Linked DNA regions of Mytilus edulis. The protein of the gene in region 2 interacts with the protein of the main gene of each other region in a pairwise test. Links are inferred from orthologs where the notes say so. Each region holds a gene or a part of one and is shown on either strand. Other genes may lie near its edges.

Region 1 (7,464 bases), on a different chromosome or scaffold from region 2:
CATATGACGGTTAATTAAGAAGCTACATGACGTACATAGGACTTATACATAATTCATGAATGCAAAACTATTCAAAAATCTTCTGAATAGAACATCTAAATAGAATAAAGCATGGTTAATTGAATACATAAACAACACATTTTTGTGTTATGGAATTTACTAAAAATTGTCAAAAATCTGCCCTTCGGGTCTTAGCAGAAACGAACTTCTTTATTACTTTGTCAATAATCACACAAAAATCCCGATGAATATGCAGCAATGCTAGCGATGCTAAACCGTCGTTGTTCGTTGTTAATCGTACATATGTTTTCAACAGACGTAGTACAATGAACGATCTCTCTGCGGTAGCACCCGCGATATGTAATCCAGCGTGTTCGCCATCAAGCGACCTCCCGATTGAATTTGTCAAAATTACAAAATGTACATGACAAGTCAGTTTCTTTTGTCTCAAACAATGCTGTGATTTGTTCGTTTGTTGTATTTCCTACAACACGAGGAAGCAGATATGCGCAAAGCAGTGATTTTTCTGACTGATATCAGACGCGACTCCAGTTCCATAAATTATCATGTACCTATGTACATGTAGCTTCTTAATTAACCGTCCTATGGCCAAAACCCGAAAAACAAACAATTTTCCGGTACCACGATTTCCCGAGAAATACAAGAAAAACATTATATCCCCAAAACAAACTGATATATCCCGAGAAAAAGACAGTTGCTGGTGTTATGCTACGTTTTATAGTGTTATACTACTTTTAACAATATTAAAGAATATTAATTAAAGATATTACTCGTAAATTATCATGTGGTCTATGGACGCAAAATATAATGAGACTTTCCAAGACTGTTTTTGCGTGTTTGCAGGGTGATTGGCTTTGATAGTCACATTGCATCGGCATATTTAACGATATCGAAGGGTTCTGATAAATCTAATGGCCGATTGGTACATCGCATTCGAAACAGATAAACCGTACTCTGTAAAATGTTCTCCGAAACTACAAGAGTATAACAAATTATAATCTTGTAATAGATTCAAGTTACTGTCCGTTTTTGTCATCTGCAATAAAACTTTAATTTTGAAACCAAATGCCGCTATTTAATGACATTATATCATTTGAATACTCGTATGTGTATCCTTTATATTTTTAATTTATAAATTTTTATTTTGCAATTTATTTTTTTTGCATGCCGAATTGATGTGCACGCAACTGCGTGTTGGCGTATAGGGAGCTACGCGCCTGATTGACCTTGAAGTAAATGGTGTACCACGCGCATGCACATTCCTCAAAAAAAAAACTGTTTTCTTGAATGAATGTTTCATATGGACTTATTTCTGCTGTTTTGAAGTTTAGGTTGTTACAATAATTAATTGGACTGCCGAGGTATTTATCAGCCAAAGGTCTATAGCTACAATGTACATGGAACTTAAACAAGTTATTCAAGAAAATAAGAGGCATCATAATAAAATAAAGACATTATGTCATTTTTCTTAGTTTCTTTTGATACCTATTCTGACACAGACTTCTTTTAAGCTGATTTTTACTGTGCATATTGCTGGGTATCGGGACTGTTCGCCCTATAACATGTTCGCCCTAGGTCCGTTTGCTCAGAGTTCGTTCGCCCTCCTATAAAAATATTAATATTCAGGGCATTGAAGTTGAATAAACTTATTCAGATATTTCTATGATATATTTATCTTGTATATTCTTGAAATTTATGGAAACATTGAAATATTTAAAAGTTTATGGCTTGTTTAGGATCGTTAATTGTTCAATGACAAAATAATCACTGATTATTGTCATTGTCTTTTGATGAATTAATAATAAAAACAAACGTTTTGTTTTGATAAAATATTCAGCTTGAAATTAATAAAAACAATGATGTACGAACTGTTAATTATGAAAAGGATTTACAAGTTCATTTATTTATACTCTAAGACTAGTCATACTGCATACATTTGTGATTGACTGAATACAATTATTTTGTTAACAAATATCAATAAAGATAAATACATTGTATTCCAGTATTCTACTCTGCAAATCAAAGTGAAAATGATAAATTGATTGCGGCAATATAAATATTCTGTCAATTTTTCAACAAACTTAACATATTTTGTTCAAATACTTAAAATAATGCGACTAGACAACAATAAGAAAAAAAAAGAAAAATCAGGGCGAATGGACCCTGGGCGAACAGGTATCAGGGCGAACAGGTACTAGGGCGAACATGAATCAGGGCGAACGGACCCGGATTCATATTGCTGTGTGTTTGTTTTTTCGTCATTGGCTAGAGGTATTGGGAGATCTCACAAAATATGTTTTAACGTGCCACACTTTAGCTGAATTGACCCGGATCTGATTTGGTTTGTACCCATGACCATGTCATATCGGTTAAAAGCTCATTAGAGCTAATGTTGTCTTTGTTTGTATACCTTGCCAACTCTATATAAAGCTTATTTATTTATTATTTACCCCAGAAATGACCTATTTTATAAGCCTGTCTCTTGTCTGGGCACTATATTTATCTAGTCCAAATAATTATGACGTCTTGAAAGGCTATTATAATTTTTTGTAAGGCGTCAAAGAAAAAAATTATAATAGCCTTTCAAGACGTCATAATTATTTGGACTAATATTTATCATGTTATAGCTGATCGACTGTTTAGTATTTTGCATTGTTGAAAACCTTAGATGACTTTTAATTTCTTGTGTCCACGTCATTAGCACTCTGGTGTTGTCTCATCTGCTACTAGTTTGATTAACATTAAATCTCCTAATTTATGTAATAAAGCATTTATCATGCTTTATATCATGTTTATACCGAATCATCTTCGTCCTTTCTGTTACGAATTTTATTTCGGCCTTTGAGTTTAACTGATTTATCTGTTAAGATCTGATCTGCAAGTGTTTGGGTTTTGTCGGTTTCGCCCTCAGTTTTAGATACTTTAACTTTCTTTGCCTTTCCCATGTTTACAGGTTTCACGTGTTGACAATTAATATGGAAGAGATCGTTAGGTCCAGAGAAGTTCCGAAAATCCACAGTGTGCGAATAAAGGAATGATTGTATTATACAAATTAGTACCGGAATCATACTGTGATCAAAATCAGCTAAAACTGCTAATTAACTTCATACGCCGATTTTTTTAAATTAAAAAATCATTTATAAGTATTAAAAAATCAACATCAATGTTACCTTAGCGTTAAAAAGATTATTGGACAAGTCGGTTCGGAGAAGTTTTGGACCGATTATGTTAAGTCAACTCGGACCATCTTATATCGACCCAGACAAGTATTTAAGGAAAGTTTGAAGTATTTAATGATTATAAACCATTTAATATTAAATTTTGAATAAAATTTTCTTTTGATAGTTCCTGAATTTGCCAAAATAATTTCATCCCTGTGAATAGACTTAATCCTACGGAATCGTATTAGCATGATTAGGGACAACACAAACTTAATTTGGGCTGGCAATGACCGATATCTGGCAAACATAACTATTTCGTATGGTAAGCCGTTGTGGAATTTATTGTACCACTGAATTTATTTTTTTATTTTTCTGGTGATGGCCACGTGGCCAAATATTCTGCATTGCCCCTATCAGAGCTTTGGAAAGACCTATTCATATCAATATTTATATTTTCAGGAAAAAATCAAAACATAATGTCACATTCACTGAGTTTACCACTGACCGATTTATTTACTTTGGTCGACATACGCGATTTGTAGGTATCTTTTTATTTATAGTCAAATAAGACGTACACGGAATTTCAACCCTTCCATGTATTACATTCAAATACTTGTAATACGATTTCCCTAACCTGGAGTCTGGACTAAGCAAACATACAAACTATTATTCCCATGCATACAGTTACGTTGTTTCTTGAATGCGGTCCAACGATTTACAGAAAAGAGCGACGATTTACAGAAAAGAACCGAAAAGAACCGAAAAGGACCAAAAAGAACCGAAAATGGACCGAAAAGAACCGAAAAGGAATACATATATATTTATTAAATAAAGTTAAAACCATGTATATATACATGGATTTTTTATAGTGTTAAAGTTTTGACTGCCAACAGTCCTTGTTAAGGTAAATATTTAGAAAATTGTTTATCTTTTTATAGGTAAAATACACTAATAAACCTGGAGCGCATAAGTCAATGTCAACACTAGTATTATTGAATTATTAGAGTATATTGCTATTATTTTGTTGCGTGTTTCCTGTAGTATTTTTTCATTACTCATATTACATATCTATCTATTGTCTGTGTATTGCATATATATATATATATATATTGTTTGTATGGCTATATGCCCTCCTAGGGGCCCTTATTTGGTGAATAAAAAAAAATCTTTTCTATTTTTCTATTCTATAAAATAGGCATCCAACCCTACCTGTAATTTTTCACATACATGTGAGTTAAAATTAGTCCTCTCACAGTATAAGGTTTTCAATGATTTGCAATTTGCTTATTTCCTTCGATTACAAAAAAAGTCGATATCCTTTTCGGTTCTTTTCGGTCCTTTTCGGTTCTTTTTGGTCCTTTTCGGTCCTTTTCGGTTCTTTTCTGTAAATCGTCGCTCTTTTCTGTAAGTCGTCGAACCCTCTTGAATGAGCGTAGTTACCGTTAGTCACGTTAGGCACGTGTCTACACAAATTGTTTTCAAAAATATTTTTATTTTATAAAAAAAATAAACAAAGTTATGCTCGCCAGCCGAGAGAAGCCGTCAAAACTCTCTTAAAATTATCAAATGTCATGTGTACACTAGTATATCATCCCTAGTGAATGGAGTATTGGATATAATTGAATGCCCCTTTTTATATAGAAAAGATATCTAAAACTTTGGTTCAGATCATTTCGTTTCTATCAACAAATACTAGATTAGACACAAAAGTCGTGATATTTGTCAATTTTGTTTAGTTGTAGCTGGCTTTCAACTGGCCCGAGAACACAGTTATTTCGTAGTGCATTTCTTTTAGACAATAAATTCAAATTGAAAAAATCGCACCTGCTCTTTCTCAAAAAGATATTACAATGTAGTATACTACTAGTGGGACAAATAATATCAAAATTATAGAAACCTCTACCAGCTCTAACTCAAAATAATGACTATTCTGTGATAAGGGGGTCATAATTCAGTTTGACAGCTTCAGACGTACTAAAATTATACATTTTTAACTGGACCAAATCACTTCTTAACATAAAGATTCGTTCAGCACCCAATTTTTTTTAACATGTAATTAAAATTATTTCATCCCCTTCTTCATATTCAAATCAATATGAGTTAGATGTAATAATTTCTCATATAGATATATCATATATATTTTAAACCAAGTGTTTTATTATTTACAGTCTAATTGTATTGTAATTGTGTATGTAATTTAAATTCTATATGCATAGATCTATGATAATCAATGTTCTGTTCCCTTATACTTGTATTCTCTATCCCTTGTGGGCCCTAAATTGGAAATAAAATATATGAGATATCTTATCTTATATGAGACAATATCTGAAAAAGTCTAATTTTTGGAAATAAGAAAAAACAAAAATTTTTTGTTTAGACCCAGTATTTTAATAGCACAAATCGAAGAACACACATTGGGGATCTAGGAACTGTTGTCTGTAATTCAAACAATTGTTTAATAAGGAAACAATGGCTATTATAAAAATGGTACAAAAAAAATCCAGTTCTTTCCTGTTACCAAAGTGAATCAATTTTAAAAAGTTTCTAATGGGAATAAGGAATAAGTTTAAGACAATATTTGTGGTTTACTAGTATATCCTGCAATAGTTTATCAAATGCCAATTATTGATTTTAGCATTTGCAATACAAAAGGTTTAGAAATATACTTAAATATAGTCAGATATGTCATATGTCGGTAACATGAAAGAATCTTGAGTAACAGCACAACGGTAAGAGGACAGAGTTGGTAACAGAAAGGATTTTTCTGCTTTATTTTAAAGTTTAAGAAAAATACATCATTTTAAATTGGTCACAATTGGAAGATAACAGCAAACAATGTCATTTATCCTTTGAAACTGTATTTGCAAGATGAAAAATCTGCCTAGGTAATGAAAAATTCTAAAATAAATTCCTTTCTGTTACCATCTACTAAACTAGAATTGCACAATGTTCTCTGCTGTTATCAAAAGCAAAAAAACAATTTTTTTATTCAATATACTTTATCTTATTTTGAAATTTATTTAATATGGTGGTGATAACTTATATTAAATGAAATGGTTGGCATATAGTAGATTAACTTTTCGATTCTTCAGTGACATTGTCTTGAACATCCTTCCTGTTACTGATGATGGTTATGCTGTTACTTTTTACCAGGTAACATGACGGAACGTAACAGAAAGGAATTACGCGATAGTTTTTGTCCTTTTTATCACATTAAATGTAAGTGTATTTCCTGTGACATATAACTTTTAAAAAGATGATATAAAAACACACTTAATGCTGTGGTGCACACTTAAAAATATTCTCAGAAAGTGTAAGAAAAGGCTGTAACAGGATAGAACACCAATAAGTATTTTTCTATAAATTCTTACCTTGGATGGGCTTGAATTTTCAAACCTGGCCGCCTTCCAACTATTTCTTTGTACTAATGCATTCAGGAAAAAGTAAAATCACAAAAATACTGAACTTAGAGGAAGATCAATTGGGAAAGTCCATAATCACATGGCAAAATCAAATAACAAAACGCATCAAAAACGAATGGACAAAAACTGTCATAATGATGCTCTTCACAATACATAATGGGAAAATAACTCTTGGTCTTGTAAACGTTTCCACAGGTAAAAAAAAAACCAGTGGTAACAGGAGGCAAATCACCCCTGGGGACAAATTTGTTTTCTCTTAAAATTTGCAAAATTTTATTACATGCTATAGTTATAATATAAAAAGACAAATTAGGGGCAAGTTTATTATATAATATATCATATATGTGAGAATCAGACGCCTGTTTAATTAATTTGGATATTATTTGAATGATTTAGTTTTCAAAAAAACACAGGGGACAACATGATTTTAGGGGGGTTGAACATTTAAATTACAATATTTTATTGGAAGAAATATAAGAATGAGTGTTTAATTGGCAGGACATGGTGCATTATATAACTTAGTTTCTACTAAAAATTTACAATTTTTTAGATATTGTCTCTTATATATATCCTGCATAGGATGGAAAATATTGTCGCAAAACTAACACTGTGCCCCTCGAGTGATTTTAATGAGTGCGGAAATCCTGTTTGATCATATTTATCATTCCTTTATTCATTCTCATTTTGTTGAATTCGAAACCTTCTTGGGTTTTTCCATTTCATGTCGTTAACAGGTAAACAGACGAAATGGCAACAGTTGTTGAAAAACTAATATTTTTCGTCTGCATTTTCTTCCCAAGACTATTTTATTATTATATTGACGCTCTTATATCAGCATTTATTCCTGCCAAGCCCAAGAG
Region 2 (7,916 bases):
GTATCCAAGAACAAGAATGTGTACACGGATGCCCCACTCGCACTATCATTTTCTATGTTCAGTGAAATTTGGGTCAAAACTTTAATTTGAAATTAAAATTAGAAAGATCACATCTTAGGGAACATGTGTACTAAATTTCAAGTTGATGTAACTTTAACTTCATCAAAAACTACCTTGACCAAAAACTTTAACCTGAACTTCGCACTATCATTTTCTATGTTCAGTGGACCATGAAATTGGGGTCAAAACTATAATTTGGCATTAAAATTAGAAAGATCATATCATTGGGAACATGTGTACTAAGTTTCAAGTTGATTGGACTTCAACTTCATCAAAAACTACCTTGACCAAAAACTTTAACCTGAAGCGAACGGATGCACGGACAGATGAACAGACAGACAAACAAATGAACAGACCAGAAAACATAATGCCCATTTCAAGTTGATTGGACTTCAGCTTCATCAAAAACTACATTGACCAAAAACGTTAACCTGAAGCGGGACAGACGGTCGGACGCACAGACCAGAAAACATAATGCCCCTCTACTATCGTGTGTGGGGTATAAAAAACGAACCACAACAACAGCTAGTATAGAAACTTAAGAAGTAGTAGCAGGAATTCTTCCACTGGACCTCAAAAGAAAAGAAACCGGTTTAAGGCAAATTGCAAAAATAAAATCATATAAAATCACTATCCCTATTAAACTAATTTTTGAATATTGAAAGAATATAAATGAACCTGAAAAAATAATCTCACCAATTGGAAGAATGGTATTACAGTCTGAAGACATGATGAGGTCAACAGAGATTGATTCTGAGGGTATAGATATAAAAAAAAAGATGTGGTATGATTGCCAATGAGACAACTGTACACAAGATACCAAAAATGACACAGACATTAACAACTATAGGTCACTGTATGGCCTTCAACAATGAGAAAAGCCCATACTGCATAGTCAGTTATAAAAGGGCGTGATATGACAATGTAAAACAATTCAAACGGCAGTGATTTTGCTAGCGATCGTCACTTTCGTAATTTACGAAAGAGTTTTCGCATTGACGAAAGTATTTCAAATCAATTTCGTCACTTAAATTTTGAAAGTGTAAAAAATATTTTCGCATTAAAATACTATAAAGGACTATAAATCTACCTGTTTCTATGTTTTTGACAAGTTTATGACCCTCAGGTAATTAACATTTTCAACAGGTGTTACAAGTTGTGATTACAACTAATCCGATTATCGCCATCAGATGGGTCACTAATCCGTTTATTATTAATAAACCTCATAGTTGACCATCATAATTATTTACTCAGGAAAATCAGTCAGTTGACATTTCAACAACCAGGTGTATATTATAGTTTCGTCATTTAATCGAAATGGTTACCCCCGGACAGTTCGCATTTGAAATTTCAATATTTCTCTAACGATCACAATTTGAAGATCATTTGTCGTAGATTCGTCATTCGAACGCATTTTCGTCATAATTGATATAAATTGCCATCAAAAACTTTCGACAATTTCTATTTAAAATATAGAACTGTATTCAAAACGTCGCGAGTTAAACAGGTGCTTCCTGTACTGTGTGCTACGCATGCGTGGAAGTACTTATGACTATTTATAGACTCTGAATAAAAATGTAAAATACGAAATCATTTAGATCAATTAAACGAGAGAGACAAATATATAGCTCTAACTAAAAAAAATTCAACCGAAAACTGATAAATTCCTGATGAATCCGGACTTTATCATCCACGTGTCACTTCCCGTTTTCGTTTCATTTTAAAACCGAAAGTAGTAAACGTGATCTATTCTTGATTTATTTACAACCTCCTTTCAGTCGTTGTACTCGTTCCAAAAGGATTTTATACAGTTCCAACTTAATAGAAAAGATTTCCAAATATTGATTTAGACTTTTTATAAGGATAATGATTATGCAGTGATATTATCATTGCAAGTTAATTTCTGCTGTGTACCCTTGTTTAAAAAAGAAATAAATCTTAACTTTTGTTGATCAGGAATGTCCTCTGGAACAAACTGAAGAGAAATTGTGAACTAAGTTTCCACATCCCATGTCAGAATCTTTCATAATAAGGGCCAAAAGTCAAATCATATAATACTGTTAGACTGCCAATCATGCCTAAGCCCTTTAAAATCTGACAAAGTCAAAGATGAAGCTAGTAATATAAATCCTTGGTCCCTTGCTGTTACACAAAAAAAAGGTTGATTTTCATAGCGCGCTAAAGTGACTAAAGCCCTCAAAATCCTAGCTTAAACCCTGTAAATCAAACGAGAAATCTAACGGCCTTATAGTATGAATTGGAATTCCGAGGGTTAGCAGCCTCAAAATCACCACCAGAGTATTGGAAAAATCTCAGAAGTTCAAAGTCTAGATCAAAGGAACAAGCTTTTCAGGGAAAGACTATTATTTTGAAAAAATATATCAACTAAAAAAAAATACAACAATAGCTTTCGCTGGTGGCTCCTGCAGAGGAAACCCAGGTTGTGGGCTGGGGAAGCTATTTTAATACCAAGCAGCACAGAACATGTGGAGTTAACACAGCCAGAAAACAACAGAAAAAACACAGAATCCATCAAAATTTTCTCAGACAGCCAATCAGCAATTGGAATTCTAACTTTAAATTGGAAATCGGTTAATTACGGCAACTATTCATGTTATTAAAATTGGTATTTGGCACTTAAATCTGAAGGAATCATTGTTTCCATTGAATGGACCCCTGGACGCGCTGAAATACAAGGTATTGAACTAGCAGACCAACTAGCTAAATAGGCAACACAGGAGGCAGAAAAAAATAGAAAGCATTCCAATAGTCACAAAACAAGATATATACAAAAAGGAGCAAAAGACAGTGTAATGTTAAAACGGCAAAACCGATGGGACAACAGTAGTAAAGGAAAAAGATATTATTCCTCCCAACAAAATGTAAAAAATACACTTCTAAAAGACAAACCATCAACTGAAATGTATCGGATATCAACTAGCTTAAGAACAGGATATTGTAATTTAAACTCGTACAAATCAATGATATGCCCAGCACTCAACAACAAATGCAGCTGTGGACAAAAAGAAACAGTTGACCTTTATCTACTGTATTGTGAACATTATGAGGAGGCTAGAGAGAAACTGTGCTCTGCACTTTACTTCATAACATCAAAACTAACACTTGAATCAGAAGTATTATTAGAAACAACAGAAATAATAGATGATATTCAACATTTGTTAGGGGTTTTTATTAAAAATACTGGAAGGTTCACAAAATAAATAGTTAAGGTTTTATAAGGGTTAATTATTTATTGATTTATTTTTTTATTTATTTTTTTATTTATTTTTCTCTGCGGTGCCACATCATAAATACAAACGTACTAATGAGTTTTATACAAAAGCGACATAAAATTACCAGAGTGATCTAAATGAATCCGGGTCCGTTCGCACACACTCATGTTCGCCCCCTTTCACTTTCGCACCCTACATGTTTGCACCCAAAGTCTGTTCGCACCCTACATGTTCGCCCCCAATTTTAATTGGTTTTGTGTTTGATAACTTTGTAATCAAATTTTTGTCAAGTGTATTCTAATAAGTATAATTGTTGTCATCGTCTCAAAATAAAGTGAGACAGCATTTTTTTGTGTTGAACAAATCTTAATCATGTTTTGGATAGTGTATTGTTAAAAAAATTAATAATCCTTTCTAAATAAAGTGGGATTCTGTCAACGTTTTATTTTGTGCTGAATAACTCTTAATCATGTTTTGGTTAGTGTATTGCTATAACTTTTGTTTCATTGACTTGTTTTAAAATAAAAGGAGATTCTGACTACGTTTTTTTCTTCTGTGTTGAATAAATGTTATCATGTTTTGGTTATAATAGTGTATTGCTATATTTAATTGTGTTATTGTTTCAGGTCAAAGGGACCAAGCTGTTAAAAACAATTATCTTTTGTGTTTTTCATTTAAAATCTTCAAAGTTTTACTCATATTAAGCTATAAATACATTCAGTATTTACACCAAAGCAACTTTAAACAACAATCATAATTTTCCAATTATTCAACTGGAATGTGAATTAAAATTGGGCACGAATGTGTAGAGTGCGAACGGACCTTGGGTGCGAACATGCGAGGTGCGAACGTGTAGGATGCGAAAGTGTTTTGGGCGCGAACGGACCTGATACCGATCTAATACAGAGAGATTATAGTGTCAAGTTGACACTCACTAAAGACTAAAGACATTTTGCACTAATTTTGTACACTGGCAATAGCGTAGTGATGTCAATGCAGAAATTCTTCATGTAAAAAGTACATTTACAAAGTCCTAACAAACTGACATGAATACCGATTATAGACTACGGAGTACGGCAGGATATGACGGCCGGAGAGGAGAACACTGCAACCGCAGAACTGATATATCACAAAAGTTCGTGATTGAGCGTTATTTCTCACAAATGCATTGGGTACTTTGTGTTATATTAAGGTATAGATACAAATGTACACATGTATATGTTACAAAATTCAGAAACATTTGCCTATGACTGTGTGGACAACCTGTCAACAAGGTAGGAGGATTTAAAAACTTTTGCAGAGGTTACCAGCTGGTTACATTTTGCATACAATTAAAATACTTTTACTGTTTAGCAGGTTTAAAAGTTCACTTTACCTTAAAGCATATAAAGGTATAAAAACACAGATTTTAGCGAAGAAGAATGAAACGATCTGCCTGGCAACACTTACACAAAATCCGGGCACTTGTTACTTCGTAAAGCCGCAGTGAATTTCGATCCAGTAATAACTATTTTCCCACTGTTTATACTTTTAAAATATGGTATGAAAAATTTACCTGTTAATTTTATTTTCGAAAATATTTTTTTTTATTGGAATTTCTTCCTTAAATTATTGAGTTTTTGTAAACAAAACAGTGTCGCATATGTAAACAACAATGGCGGCTTTTGGAAACAGATATTTTGAAAAATTGGTATTTGATTGAAATTATTGTACAAATCAATTTTTATATAGCTATAAAATGCTGATTTTGAACATGTTTTATCTAAGAAAGATGGATATTGTAACATATTCTGATAAGTTAACAAATAATCTGATGTCAGTGCCCGCTAAAATTTGAATTTCTTGGCCCACTTCAGGCACTTGCTTGGACATGTTTCCTATCCGTAACTTCGATAACACTTATTATACAGCTATGAAATTATTTTATTAAGAAGTACCTGAACGTTGATCGACATTATGCCTCGCAGAGTAAATATTTCACATTTGAATCACATTTTTACATTCTAAAAAATCAACAGAATTATAAATTTAATGTAACTCAATGCTACTGTAGTATACTGTGCAGTAGGTGGTCACTTACTAATGAAAATACACTTTGTCATTTGTGTAGTCCTTCTTTAAGTCAATAAATAAAAGTTGTTTTGACTTTATTCGGTCATTCTTGCAGGTATATACATTTTATTTTGATATTGAAATGATTTTTAGTGCATTTTTCATGATTAAAGGTGGCATTAACCCTCTTGCTGCCAAAGGGACATTTATGGCTTCTACACACAAATCTTGTTGATTGTGTAGAACGTCAAAGGTTCATTGTAACGTCACAATACTCAGGGGCACTGACAACGTCAAAATACGGCGTCAAAAGGGCGATTTTGGCGGGAATGAAGCAAACTGAATAAAATGCTTTAAAAGGATACTTAAAACGGATGTCAAGAAATGATACAGGATCATAAGCTTGTTAGTACTATAATACCAACTTATTTAACGTGTTAACTAATTATCTAGTTCGTCATTTTCATGTAAAATGTTGCATTTTGTCGAGAAATTTACGTTTTTTTTCGTACATCTATCAATCAGAATATCTCATATAAAGAAAAAATCTTATCCCTGATAAAAAATCATAAAAAAGATAACTGTTATACTTGATGACGTTAAATATTAATAATCATTCACAATACTCCATACACGCTTTATTTAAAAGAACTAGATAATTTATTTAGGGCTCAAATACTACGATTGACATAGGATTTTTTTTGTAAAAGTACACACATGTTAACCGATGTACTTGTATTGCCATACGATATTTCAATACATTTTAAACCTGTTTCATCAAGGAAGCACTGCCTTAAAAATGTTTATTTTCATTCGAAATGGGGATGTTAAATTAGAAGTAGACACAATGATTTCCATTCCTATCATATATATCATAGATGTCCATTCCCAGATGCAACCTCTTTTTTCTGGCATTCACCACAGATCTTTTACTTTGTAGGACTGCTGTTCAAAACTCATAAATCTATGGACAAAAAACAAAATCGGGGTAACAAACTAAAACTGAGGGAAACGCATTAAATATTAGAGGAGAACAACGACACAACATTAAAATGTAACACACACAGCAACGGACTAAGCATTAGACAACATCCGATGAGAACAATTTATCAATTAACAGATGCTCGGAGATTTTATTTATTTTTATGAATTTGCACACGCTTTGTTTATATTTTCATTTTCATTGAGTGCCGTTGTTTTGCCGTTTATATATGATTTGAGAGATTTTTTTACAGTATTTATACCAATTATCTAATAAAAAAACGAGAATAAATATTTTACTATTTTATAAGTGGTTAAGAATCATTTATGCATTTCACTTGACAAAGATAAAACAAAGTCGCCTTTAAAGCTAGTATAGCAATCGGTATATTATTTTCACTTTATTTTAAGACAAGAAAGATAAAAAAAAATATATTACAAGGTTAAAAGTTGTATTTTTAAATAATCTTGTATTAAAAACATCGTTTATGACAATCTTGGAGCATATTTAATCTGTAAAATTACTTATACATCGTTTTCATAATTACGGCTACATTGACGCAGGAAAAATCATGGACGGCGGGAAAGCGCAGTTCTACAGAGAGGCACAAGTTTTGCAACGTCACACATAAGAAACTTCAAGATGCTTTTGGCGCGACAAAGCAAGAAAAAAACTCGGCAGCAAGAGGGTTAATGCACACACATACTGTATGTAAAAGTGACTGTTTACATTCATTTTGAAATGTTTATCTATGCTATTATCATCACATGAATTGGGAAAACACATTCAAATTATGAATATGTTGATAAGGTCGGTAGCATGAAGCTCATACAACTTACAATACAGCTTTTAATTATTTGTTGTTTTGAAACATTCAAGCTAGTTTCCATCATCATCAAGGTTTCAAGTTATGTCCTTCACCAAAAAAGTTTCAATTATACATGTATATGCATGCATTTATGATGTCATTTACCTAATAAAGGGAATCATGTGCCTGTATTCCTGAACTTTTATAAAAGTTCATCAAGGGTTTAGTAAATGTCATTATGCAGGATAAAGTACAAATAATGTTTGCTTTGTAGGTACTTATCACCCACTCTCTTAACATGGGACGGAAGTGATAATGCTCCAAAACGCATGAAATTCATTCAGAATGATGTTCACTAAAACCAAAGTTTTTTTATGGAAATGCAAAGAACTTGAAAGTGGTCTATAGGTTTCCTGTACAAATATTACATTCCTTTTGAGAAAATGTCCAGGGGTTTGAAGAGGAGGTTTCAGTTCTGGTAGCTATGTCTTGATAACCTTGCATCAAAATGTAGCAGTTTTTATATACATGTGTCTAACAAAATGATTGCCATCATCAACTAAGAAGACAATAATCCTAATATCATGTCCAACAGTAAAACTATTAGCAGCTTTTATACTGTCTGACATGGACATTAGGTCATGCTCCTTTGGATTTGTCAGCCTAAAAATCAGATATATTAGGCCAAAAGATCAGATAGATTAATAAGAAACCTCTTTTATTGTCAAAATTTAATCTTTATATATTGTAAAGTTGAAAACTTATTTGGTATTTGTGTGTG

The links.
Region 1: the proteins of centrosomal protein of 70 kDa-like (region 2) and bystin-like interact in binary tests that used the Homo sapiens proteins (3 or more experiments, as listed by UniProt). The link is inferred for Mytilus edulis from reciprocal best matches to the Homo sapiens genes CEP70 and BYSL.

The regions. Positions count from the first base shown.
Region 1 is NC_092355.1:40,791,267-40,798,730, forward strand, and holds the start of bystin-like, read right to left. Parts: upstream 3,030-7,464; 5' UTR 2,967-3,029; coding exon 2,820-2,966; intron 1-2,819. Other genes in the region: 17-beta-hydroxysteroid dehydrogenase 13-like, read left to right, coding at 7,352-7,464. UniProt on the Homo sapiens protein: Required for processing of 20S pre-rRNA precursor and biogenesis of 40S ribosomal subunits. May be required for trophinin-dependent regulation of cell adhesion during implantation of human embryos.
Region 2 is NC_092345.1:56,957,182-56,965,097, forward strand, and holds the start of centrosomal protein of 70 kDa-like, read left to right. Parts: upstream 1-4,914; 5' UTR 4,915-4,947; coding exon 4,948-4,983; intron 4,984-5,128; exon of another isoform or gene 5,129-5,249; coding exon of another isoform or gene 5,250-5,261; intron 5,262-7,916.